Linked DNA regions of Saccharomyces cerevisiae S288C. Changing the gene in region 2 together with the main gene of any one other region gives a genetic interaction. Each region holds a gene or a part of one and is shown on either strand. Other genes may lie near its edges.

Region 1 (3,960 bases), on a different chromosome or scaffold from region 2:
TCAATTGAGTCTGTATTGTTTTGTTTACTCTCTTTTTTTTTATTGATACTAACCTGACCCCTCTTTTCCTTTTTCCTCTTCTTGTTTTCTTTCTGATAAAGTTTACAAACTTCAAATAAAAATGAACGTAAAACAAGTAAAAATGTAGGATGTTATAGTATCAACTAGCTGCCGGAATAGTGCAAATTGTATGAATCGAAATAAGTACGCTAGCCAAGGCAGTAAGGCCTAATGCCCTTAGGCAAATTTATTATTTATATTAAGTTCCAAGAAGGGGAAGCGCCTTCTTTCCCCGCAGTACAGTATTTTACCCGGAGGTTCTTAATAAGTTATTACTAAAAGGGTCATAACGGATTTATTAATAATGGGATTATAAAAATAATGCGTGTGTACCTAGTTATCGCGTGATAGCTTCCGCAATTTTCCAACCATTAGTAAATTTTATGTAACTAAAACGAGGAAGGAAATAGTAACGTTCATTTTCTTAATTATAAATATCATTATCATAGTGTATGGTTAAAAGAATATATTATTGTATTAAATAAGTGCTAAATACTAAATGGTCATGAGGAAAGAAAAATATGCAGAGGGGTGTAAAAGTAGGATGTAATCCAACTATAGTTTGCTTTCAATGTTTTTGACCAATTCCTTGTATTTCTCAGTAGAATAGGACTTTGGCCTTTCAATGGAAGCACCGATGGCCCTATCAGTGATCAATTGAGCAAGAATACCAAATGCCCTTGAAACGCCAAATAAAACGGTATAGAAAGAAGATTCTTTTAGTCCATAATATTGTAATAAGACACCAGAGTGAGCATCTACATTTGGCCATGGATTTTTGGTTTTACCATGTTCAGTCAATACGCCAGGTGCTACCTCGTATATTGATGAAACTAACTTGAATAATTCATAATCTGGAAAATGGTCCATGGCAAACTTACGCTGAGCCATATAACGAGGATCAGTTTTCCTTAGCACAGCATGACCATAACCGGGAATGACTCTTCCTGAGTTTAGAGTATCCCATAAATATTTTTCGATCGTATCTTTAGAGTAGTCATCATTTACCTCTTCTTTAAGTGCAAATAACCATTCTAGTACTTCTTGATTAGCACGCCCATGAAGTGGGCCAGCCAACCCGTTCAAACCTGATGCAAGGGACAGATAAGGTGATGATAGTGCTGAGCCCACAAGATGGGATGTATGTGCAGATACATTACCACCTTCGTGATCCGAATGAATGGTTAAATAAAGTCTCATCAAGTCCACGAAATCTTCATCCTTAGAACCAATCAAGTTGACCAGATTTTTAGCATAATCGGCATTTGGGTCCACTTCACCCATTTTGCCATCTTTGAATACATTACGATAAATTTTAGCTGCAATAACTGGCAATTTACCCAGCAAGTCTAGTGAATCTTCAAAAGTATAACTCCAATAATCTTGCTTGGAAATTCCTTGAGCATAAGCCTTAGCAAACTTTGACTCGCTTTCCAAGGCAGTTACAGCAATAGAGAATTGAGCCATTGGGTGTAAGTCCTTTGGTAAATTATCCAAAAGTTGAACGACATGACTAGGTAGTTCCGATCTTGACATTAGATCAGCTGATAAGTTTTCAACTTGCGCTTGAGTTGGAACCTCGCCAGTTAGCAATAACCAAAAGAGAGCTTCTGGTAGTGGTTGTGAGCTTCCTTTTGCCTTGGGCAGGTCCTTTTGAATGTCGGCGATCGTACGACCTCTGAAACGAATACCGTCTTCTGGGTCCAAAACGGAACCTTCCCATACGCTCCCTGGAATACCTCTCATACCACCATATACCTGTTCTAATAGAACATCGCTAATTTTAGTTTTGCCATGCTCTTTAACGAATTGCCTTACATCTTGAGCATGGATGGGGTAGATTTCGCTAAATCTCTCTTTTAGAGTCTTTTCTTGGCTTGAATTTGATTGTAAATATGATGCAACATTTCTGTTTGAATTTAGATAAGGAACTGTCATTTTTCTTGTTACTAGTATTATTAAAACAAAAAGTTTTGAGAACCTGTTATGATATGTGTTGATATTGTTCCCTGAAACTTAATAATGAGGAACGAACACCATATCTAAAGAACCAAGTTTTAATAGTCTTATATACGCTCAACGTCGAGAATAATGGGCCCTTTTGAGAGCATGACTATCTTTAGATTAACGTCACCAATTTCATACGAATGTAACGCTCAAAAGGTAATTGCGCTTACCATTGTTATTGTTTTTCCGCTGTGCCTCCCATTGCTGACGCCCTGATAGACGTCTAGCTACGGAAAAGGTCACACTTTTTTTCTGCAAGAAAAAATAGGTCGTGACCTCTTCGCCCCTAGTCGATGACCACCGGATAAATGCGTCGAATGTGCGCGCTATTAGTTTGCGCTCTTTTGAGATACCGCCAAGCCATTGATTGAATGACCCAAGGACGGATTTGTTCAACACTCCAAAGCGGCTTATGTTGTGGCAACAACTCTGGGGAAAGTCAGCGCAATGTTTTCCCCTAAGGATTCGCGCGAGCCGTGTGTAACAAAGTTCCGCCGGTATAGCATATCTAAACCACAGAAGGACGCTTATACGGCCGTCTTCCACAGTAATTAGAAGGACATTAGTCGGAGTGTAAATAAGACGGTTGCATACGCGTATGAACATGGGCCATTCATTTTACGGAAATGGCAACACATTTTCTTGTTTTTAATGTAAATAGTACGGAGTTCCTTTTTGGTGCGCTGAATGTATGCCGTAGTTTGGTTTCTTGCCAGGCGTGAGAAGAGAGGTCACACATGCTGTTGGGGTTCATGATTTTCAGCCTTCGCTCTGCTAAGTAAAAGGTCCATTGATCCGAAGCGCTTCCTCCAATATCGCAGTGATAAACGGTCATGTAAGCCTACAGTCTTTAAACTGTAGATGATTTAATGGATTATCTCATACATTGAATATCACACTTCAGCAGTTCAAGTTTTCATTAACATTGGTCTTCTCCAGCTTACTCTGTAAAGTCCGCTGCAGTTTTCTAGAAATCATAATCTGTACCTCCATTCAGCCATCTGAGGAACCTCCGAAATAACGAGTAAATGTTCAAACATGCCATGCGCCTTGGTTTATTGTACGAGTTTTAGCATATTGCAAAAAAAAACTGCTCCTGAGTACACTTGTTTTACGTCGGAAAGATAAATGCCGTACCATTTCTGCCAGTAGCGACACCACACATTGTAAAAACAATGTGGGGCGAGCCGGGACTCGAACCCGGGACCTCCCGCACCCTAAGCGAGAATCATACCTCTAGACCACACGCCCTCCTTTGAAAAATCCCGGCAGAACAGCGCCTGAAGTCTGGGATACAGCCCTATTTTCCCTGCCATCGTCATTGACCTTTTTCTTAACGACCAGATTAACAGCCAGTTATTGAAAGTTTGCGAACGTGAAGTAAAACTGCAAAATGGTCGTTTTAAGTCAAAAGTAACCCTGCGTCACACATGAGAAACATTATCGCTAAGTTGTTGTTACTACTTCTTGTAATTAACTTACTGTCGCATTCCAAATGGACTGCGAAACAGACACGAAACAATTACGAAAGTGACGACAGAGTAAATATTGTCATTAAAGAGAATGATGACCTCCGGGTAAACTGTGAGAATAAGTCTAGACCATTCGTTAAACTTCATCTTTAATTGAGAAGCATAGTAAAAAATAATTAACAAGTTAACACAACTATCTTGACCCATGCTACCAAGGACATAAGTAATATCCTCCACCACTTTTACTCAAAGTATATCTCATTCTGAGAAATGGGTGAATGTTGAGATAATTGTTGGGATTCCATTGTTGATAAAGGCTATAATATTAGGTATACAGAATATACTAGAAGTTCTCCTCGAGGGTCTAGGAATCCCCATAATGGAATCTATATTTCTATATACCAATATTACGATTATTCCT
Region 2 (4,311 bases):
GTTTCTGACTTCTGATGTTGATGTTTTTAATGGCTCTAACCCTCTAGATATAGATTGGAAGTAAAGTTTATTTTCCTTTGTACAATGCAAAAGTGGAATTTCCATTTTCCTTAAAGGAATCTTTTCAATTTTTTTAAAATTATGATACGTCATTTTTTGTTTGTTAATGGGCTGTTTATTTTGTGAGGACACTGTTCGCCAAATTTCGAAACTCTTCTCAGGTTTTTCGTATTTTTTCCAAAATTTTCTCTCCTCATCACTATCTTCCTTGTCTATCCCGGTGTCATGTTCGCCACCTTCCTCAGTTTCCTCCTCTTGAGAGTCTGTTTCGCTTTCCGTAGTAGAGTAAATTTCACCGACCACACTCCTCCAATGCCTTTCTCTTCTTCTTTTCTTCTGCTGTAGTACTGACCTCCTATATGTGCCGGCTTCACTGTTTTGACCTTCTTCTTCGTCATTATTTTCAGCTGCAGAATTTTCGGGCGTTGGCAAACTATCTGTGGTAGTAGATTTCTTGGAAATTCTGTCAAATCTTCTAGAAATGTAATTTATGTATTGATACTTTAACTTTCTTCTTTGAGCAAACTTCCTATTAGTTAAAGTTATAGGGACTTCAAACATGGTTTATGCATCATATTAGAATTTAATTCTAACTTTATTCGTGCTTCAATTTCTTTCTTCTTTTTCTTTAAAACACTTTTTTATTGAAGAATGCTCAAGTATAACCCACTCAAAAATATAATTGGCAATGAAAATATAACTTTTTTAGATGTTAGCGATGCTATATCATCTGAGATGAGATGAGATGAGATGTTTATTATGATCCATTTCTTTTCTTTTTTTATTTTTTTTTTTTTTTTTTTTTTCATTTTTCAACGCGGGTAATAGAGAATACATCCACTGTCCGGGTAAATTATGTTACAGTTAGCGCTTAATGTTCACTTCACAGTATTATGAGCTGTTTTTGTAATAAAGACGACTATAACATAACAAAAAAAATCAACTCTCGCTAGAATAAAGTAACATAATTACTAAAAGGTGGCTAAGCAACATATCGGTCCAACTTTTTCACCTCTTCTCAACGCTGTTTCAGAGTACATTTAATTTCCGCCATATACTCGAATAAGTGGCTAAGGGAGAGTCCGAAGAGCGTGCTACCAATTCTTCATCTCGTTAACAAACTGGTTCTCCGTTAAAAATTGTGCTATATGTCCTATAAGCCAACTCTATCTATATCTTTTCTTTTAGTCCTACTTTGGATACTGTTACCACCATTTTAGATTGCTTTTTCTTTTGCCGCTAGCCTTACAATATTTGGCAAACTTTTTTTTTTTAGCCGCCGAGACTCTTGATCTATGGCCGGGCGAAAGGGCAAATGACTGCTTATCCCCGCCATCACTTCCCCCCGCCCAAGGGTTTAGAATTGGGGATTAAGTAAAAACGAATGACTATTCCTCTCAAAGTCATCCTTGTTCGACAAAAAGAATGGAATATAACATATTGGAACAATTTCATCCTCTTTTCCCCATTTTCGCATATAAGAGCAACTAAACGCCGGTGAGTAAAGTGCCCTTCCCTACAGACTCTTTTACTCAGGTATATATATATATATATCCCTTAAAAACTAAAAAGAAAGCACTCATGAGGATCTGTCATTCGAGAACTCTCTCAAACTTAAAGGATCTTCCGATAACGTCAAGGAGAGCAATGCATTCGGCCATTGTCAATTACTCCACCCAAAAGGCCCAATTTCCCGTAGAGACAAATAATGGGGAACACTATTGGGCGGAAAAGCCGAACAAATTCTACCAGAACAAAAGGCCCAATTTTCAAGGCATTACCTTTGCTAAACAACAAGACTTACCATCATTACCCGTGCCCGAATTGAAGTCTACACTTGACAAGTATTTGCAAACCATCCGCCCATTTTGCAATGATGTAGAAACTTTTGAAAGACAGCAGCTGTTATGTAAGGACTTCTCGGAGCACATGGGGCCTATCTTACAAGACCGATTGAAAGAGTATGCCAACGATAAAAGAAACTGGATGGCCAAGTTTTGGGATGAACAATCCTATTTACAATACAACGATCCTATTGTTCCATACGTCTCTTATTTTTATTCTCATATGCCATTACCGAATCATTTATCGAAGATCGATAATGATCCTTTGATTAAGGCTACTGCGATTATCTCAACCGTGGTTAAATTCATCGAAGCTATTAAAGATGAATCTTTACCCGTAGAAATTATCAAAGGTATGCCATTTTGTATGAATAGTTTTTCATTGATGTTTAACACTTCGAGATTGCCTGGTAAGCCAGAGGATAACCAAGATACAAATATTTTTTATTCAGTTTATGAGAACAACTTTGTAACTATCGCTTATAAAGGGAAGTTTTACAAACTGATGACCCATGACGGGAATGACAAACCGCTTTCCGAAAACGAAATCTGGAGGCAACTGTACTCTGTGGTATTCCAAGGATCGCAGTCCGATCCCAAACTAGGTGGCATTGGTTCTCTCACCTCTTTACCTCGTGATCAATGGCGTGAAGTACATCTGGAGCTTATGAAGGATCCTATTTCTCAGGATTCACTAGAAACAATCCATAAGTCTTCCTTTATGCTATGTTTGGATCTTGACCAATCCCCTGTCACTTTGGAAGAAAAGTCAAGAAATTGCTGGCACGGTGATGGTATTAACAGATTCTACGATAAGTCTTTACAGTTCCTGGTCACCGGTAATGGTTCATCAGGTTTCTTAGCTGAACACTCGAAGATGGATGGTACGCCAACATTGTTTTTAAATAACTACGTTTGTCAGCAGTTGAATAAACTAGATGTGGATGACTTCATGAGAAAAGTAATTACGCCATCATCTACGGTGGCAATGAAACCTATGGAACTGCCCTTCATTATCACACCGAAGATTCATAAAGCAATCGAATCTGCCCAACTACAATTTAAGGAAACAATTGGTGAGCATGACCTACGTGTTTGGCACTACAACAAATACGGAAAAACGTTTATAAAACGCCATGGCATGTCACCTGATGCATTTATTCAACAAGTTATCCAACTGGCGGTTTTCAAATATCTGAAACGACAACTACCAACTTACGAGGCTGCTTCCACGAGAAAATACTTCAAAGGCCGTACTGAAACTGGTAGATCTGTGTCCACCGCCTCCTTAGAATTTGTTTCTAAATGGCAAAATGGCGATGTTCCTATTGCAGAAAAGATTCAGGCTTTGAAACATTCTGCAAAAGAGCATTCTACGTACCTGAAAAATGCTGCAAATGGTAATGGTGTCGATCGTCATTTCTTCGGTCTAAAGAATATGCTAAAATCTAATGATGACCAAATTCCGCCCCTTTTCAAAGATCCCTTATTTAATTATTCTTCAACTTGGTTGATCTCCACATCTCAACTATCTTCGGAATATTTTGACGGTTATGGTTGGTCTCAAGTAAATGACAACGGGTTTGGACTGGCATACATGTTGAATAACGAGTGGCTGCATATCAATATTGTCAACAAACCAGCCAAGAGTGGAGCCAGTGTTAACAGATTACACTATTATTTATCTCAAGCTGCTGATGAAATTTTTGACGCCTTGGAAAATGAGAATAAACGAAAAGCAAAGTTATGAATTTTTCACCTTTCCTCTTCAATTAATTTGTGAATATTTTTGTTAAGTATCTACACTTACATACGTATAAATAGGGGAGAAAAAAGGGCTTACGAATACATACTGATCATTACTATCTATTTCTGCACCTAGTTTCATTATGCAATTTAAAACAACTTACAGAACAAATCTTATTTCCACAATTAACGCAACTTGAAATACTATCGTAGCCACCGCAAATAGAGCATGTCGTAATTAGGGGTAACACTTTGAAGTATCGTTTATTGTAAACATTGTGGTAAATGACATTCTTATCCATCAAGTTTAGCAGCGCAGAATCTAAAAACGAATGTAAATTTCTTTTTGAACTTAAAACCTTCTTTAACGCCACAATACGATTGGTATTCTTCCTCTTTGGTTTAGGTAGTTTTGTAGATTTATACGATAATTGTATTTCCCGTAAGGTTTCTGGTTTAAGCACCCAACCATGACCATACTTGGAATGCTCTTTTACAAAAGAAGAACCACCCATTAATGCAGAGAGACCATCCGAGGTCTGTGAGATCGGTTTGGTTGTTGATTCAATTCTATCTCGTGGTACGCCTGTGAGATCACTTAATAAAGTCGGTACATTTGGTAAATCCGAGAAATTTTCTGTGTTAAGTTCCATAAACCTCC
Region 3 (3,066 bases), on a different chromosome or scaffold from region 2:
CGACTTCAAATCAAAACAAACAAACAAACAAGCAAACAAACAAATAAACAAACAAATTCTCTGTTCCTATTTTCTTCCTCTTTGTTCTGCACTTCCAGCTTTTTATGCGAGAACATCGTGTAAACTTCCTATTTAAGTAATTACATGGCTGAAAAAGTGAACACGCTAGAACACGAAAAGACAAAAAAGAAAAATGGAAAAAACAGAGGAAAATCAAGTAGAATAATGTTTATTTACCTTTCACTCAACTGTATCTTTTTGTTTATTTACTTTTCGAGTTTGCATAATTGTACTGAATCAATCCTTGCGCAATTTGGTTTTGAGAAGAGTTTCCAGTAAAATAAAATGCAAAATTATTGTTTATATACTTATTTACTAGTATATTTAATTGAGCTAAGCAAGGATTTATGTGTTGATGCTTTATTGTGCTTTTTGTACTGGACTTCTTGGTCTTAACAGCTCAATCTCATTTTTTAATGGGATATTCGAACCTAAATTAGCTATCTCTTCTTTATATCTCTTGGGTGAGAAGTTATCCAACATAACATCTGGGCTCACTATAACCCAGCCAGGTCTTACTTTGACGGGTGTCTCGTAACCAGTCCTTGCAGGAATAATATGTAATCGTCTAGTCGCGGTAGAGAAGTTTTCTGCAATACGATACAAATGGGATGGTACAGCACCATTAGTGGTGTCCTTCGTTTCGATACTCAAGTCAGTGTCTACGTTACAATGAATAAGATGTCCATCTGTAGACCTCCTTACTGTACCTGTGATACACATCCAACAGTGCCATTGCATTTTTTCCATCAACGTTTCATCGTCCTGATCTAAACCTGGATAAAACGGTGATTTCTTGTCAATAGGAACAAAAACCAATTCTTCACTTCTTCTAAACTTTTTAGCCCATATTTCATTATTCAAAAGTTTAGTAAGTTCATTGATTTTTTGAGAATTGGCCCAGATGAACAGGAAACCTGGTTTGGAGATCAATCTATCCAATGGCAATTGGGTTAAAATTGGGTAAATAAACTGATTTTCTGTTAAGCAGCCAATCATCACCACGTCGAAAGTCAAATTTTCGTTCTGTATCCAGTGATTCAACGTTGGAACAATGGAATCTATTCCGATTTTACACCCAAATGGCGTAGTGGCAAATTGATTTATTTGTTTAGCTTTCGCCTGAAATAATTTCTGAAGTTTTGGATAGCCATCAACCCTATTCTCAATATTAGTAACATGCTGTTGCGGTAGCGACTTCCCATGAATGTAGTTATTCGAGTAATCGTTTGTATGGAAGTCTCTAGAGGGTTTGAATGATACGTGTTTAGATTTCATTTCTATTGTTTCCTGGTTTGGCCCTTGCAAGTGACTGTTGTTGATGTGTCTGCTTTTATTCTGGTCGTAAGTTGGATCTTGGAATGCCATCTTAATAGTATTCTCACTTCTCTTTTGTTTTATAATGGCTGTTCTACTTTCTTCTATGTCATAATATTTAACAAAAAGTCGCACTTGAAAAGTTGAAACAAGTTATGTCGCAAGATGAAACTCGGAAATGACGAAGTGTGAAACAAGACTACAGAGCGACAAAAACCAAGCTGCAAATATACAGTAATGAAACTGAAAATATGTCCAGCAAAACTAAAATTGTTTGAGCTCGATACTAACTTCCTTCTTTTTTTTTTTTTTTTTTTTTTTACTTTTGGCTATCCTATTGTAAACGCTGTTTTACCCTTTTGCAAAGCATTTGATCACAAGATATATCCCAAAAACTATTTTTTGACTTAAGGCATTAAGAGGAGATAAGGCTCCTAATGTCACATCCAAAAGCCAAAGTATGGGACAAGCATTTCGCCCCTTTGCTCTTATTGCTTCTTGTTAAGTAGAAAGGGTAATTATAATCGAAAAATTCGCGGGAAATGATTTCAATGTTCGACTCTGAGGTAAGAAGTAAAGAGGAGATGAATAAAAGTAAAGGAAGAAGAAAAGAAAGTTGAATGGTTTCGAAGAAAAATACGGCTGAAATCAGTGCAAAAGATATATGGGAGAATATATGGAGTGGTGTAAGTTCGCTGCTTGATTTCTTCGCAGTATTGGAAAACCTAGGCGTGGTCAACGATAAGTTATATGTAAGTGGGCTATTACGGAAAGTTTGGCTGTGTTACTCGTGCATTTCAGTGATAAAATGTGTATGGAAATTAATAAAATTATGCAAGGTGAAATTTAAAATCGATCAACGATTGGATGGGGAGGGAAATGGTCTAGTAAAGGATAAGTTGATAAACTTCAAGAAAAAATATAACGAACATATCAGACATATTACTGCTGCTTTACTCCAAGATTTGAGCTATTTAATGGTTTTAATCTATCCAGGGACGAGGTTATTTAAAAGATTATCTAACATAATAACACTTTGTAGAATAATTGTATAATTTTATGCTTGAACGAATTTAGTTCTGTAAGCCCAGCTCCTTCAAGAAAGCATCCTTAGAAGGTTCCCTACCCAAAAATTCTTTCAGATTATCATTAATATCATAAAGGCCACCACGAGCCAACACAATATCACGGTATTGTATCCCATTCTTGGCATTTAACGGATCCTTAGCGAATTTGGTGTGATACATATCAGTTGCAAAGACTTCCGCCCATAGATAACCGTAATAACCGGCAGAGTAAGAGTCTGACATTATATGGCCAAATGAATCATAACCCTTGGATAACGTACCACCATTAGAAATCAAAGAAATATCCTGTCTCAATTGGTTCCAGGTATCGCAAATTGACAGGTTTTGCAAGTCTTTACAAGTATGTACTTTCATATCAAATAACCCAAAATGTAATTGTCTTAGAGTGAATAAAGCACCATTTACGTGTTTAGTTTTGATCAATGAATTGATCAAAGATTCTGGAATTTTTTCGCCCGTTTTGTAATGTGATGAGAGGTTGATTAATTCATTCTTATTCCAAGTCCAAAATTCTAACATTTGGGAAGGTGCCTCCACAAAATCCCATGGAACAGATCCGGGGCCATTAAACCTCGATTCCTTGTTTTGTCCCACCAGGTCA

Evidence for each region.
Region 1: mutations in CAT2 (region 2) and CIT2 impair growth when combined (synthetic growth defect), as found in Saccharomyces cerevisiae (one study listed by BioGRID).
Region 3: of CAT2 (region 2) and PEX34, changing one suppresses a phenotype caused by changing the other (phenotypic suppression), as found in Saccharomyces cerevisiae (one study listed by BioGRID).

Annotation. Positions count from the first base shown.
Region 1 is NC_001135.5:120,331-124,290, forward strand, and holds CIT2 (citrate (Si)-synthase CIT2), read right to left. Parts: upstream 1,999-3,960; coding exon 616-1,998; downstream 1-615. Other genes in the region: YCR006C (uncharacterized protein), read right to left, coding at 2,200-2,673. UniProt on the Saccharomyces cerevisiae protein: Peroxisomal citrate synthase involved in the citrate homeostasis. Catalyzes the condensation of acetyl coenzyme A and oxaloacetate to form citrate. Citrate synthase is the rate-limiting enzyme of the tricarboxylic acid (TCA) cycle.
Region 2 is NC_001145.3:191,147-195,457, forward strand, and holds CAT2 (carnitine O-acetyltransferase CAT2), read left to right. Parts: upstream 1-1,641; coding exon 1,642-3,654; downstream 3,655-4,311. Other genes in the region: RRN11 (Rrn11p), read right to left, coding at 1-621; VPS71 (Vps71p), read right to left, coding at 3,767-4,311. UniProt on the Saccharomyces cerevisiae protein: Carnitine acetylase is specific for short chain fatty acids. Carnitine acetylase seems to affect the flux through the pyruvate dehydrogenase complex. It may be involved as well in the transport of acetyl-CoA into mitochondria.
Region 3 is NC_001135.5:26,291-29,356, reverse strand, and holds PEX34 (Pex34p), read left to right. Parts: upstream 1-1,997; coding exon 1,998-2,432; downstream 2,433-3,066. Other genes in the region: KAR4 (Kar4p), read right to left, coding at 421-1,428; PRD1 (metalloendopeptidase), read right to left, coding at 2,451-3,066. UniProt on the Saccharomyces cerevisiae protein: In concert with the three peroxisome divisional factors, PEX11, PEX25 and PEX27, controls peroxisome morphology and abundance under conditions of peroxisome proliferation. Maintains mature peroxisomes in actively dividing cells.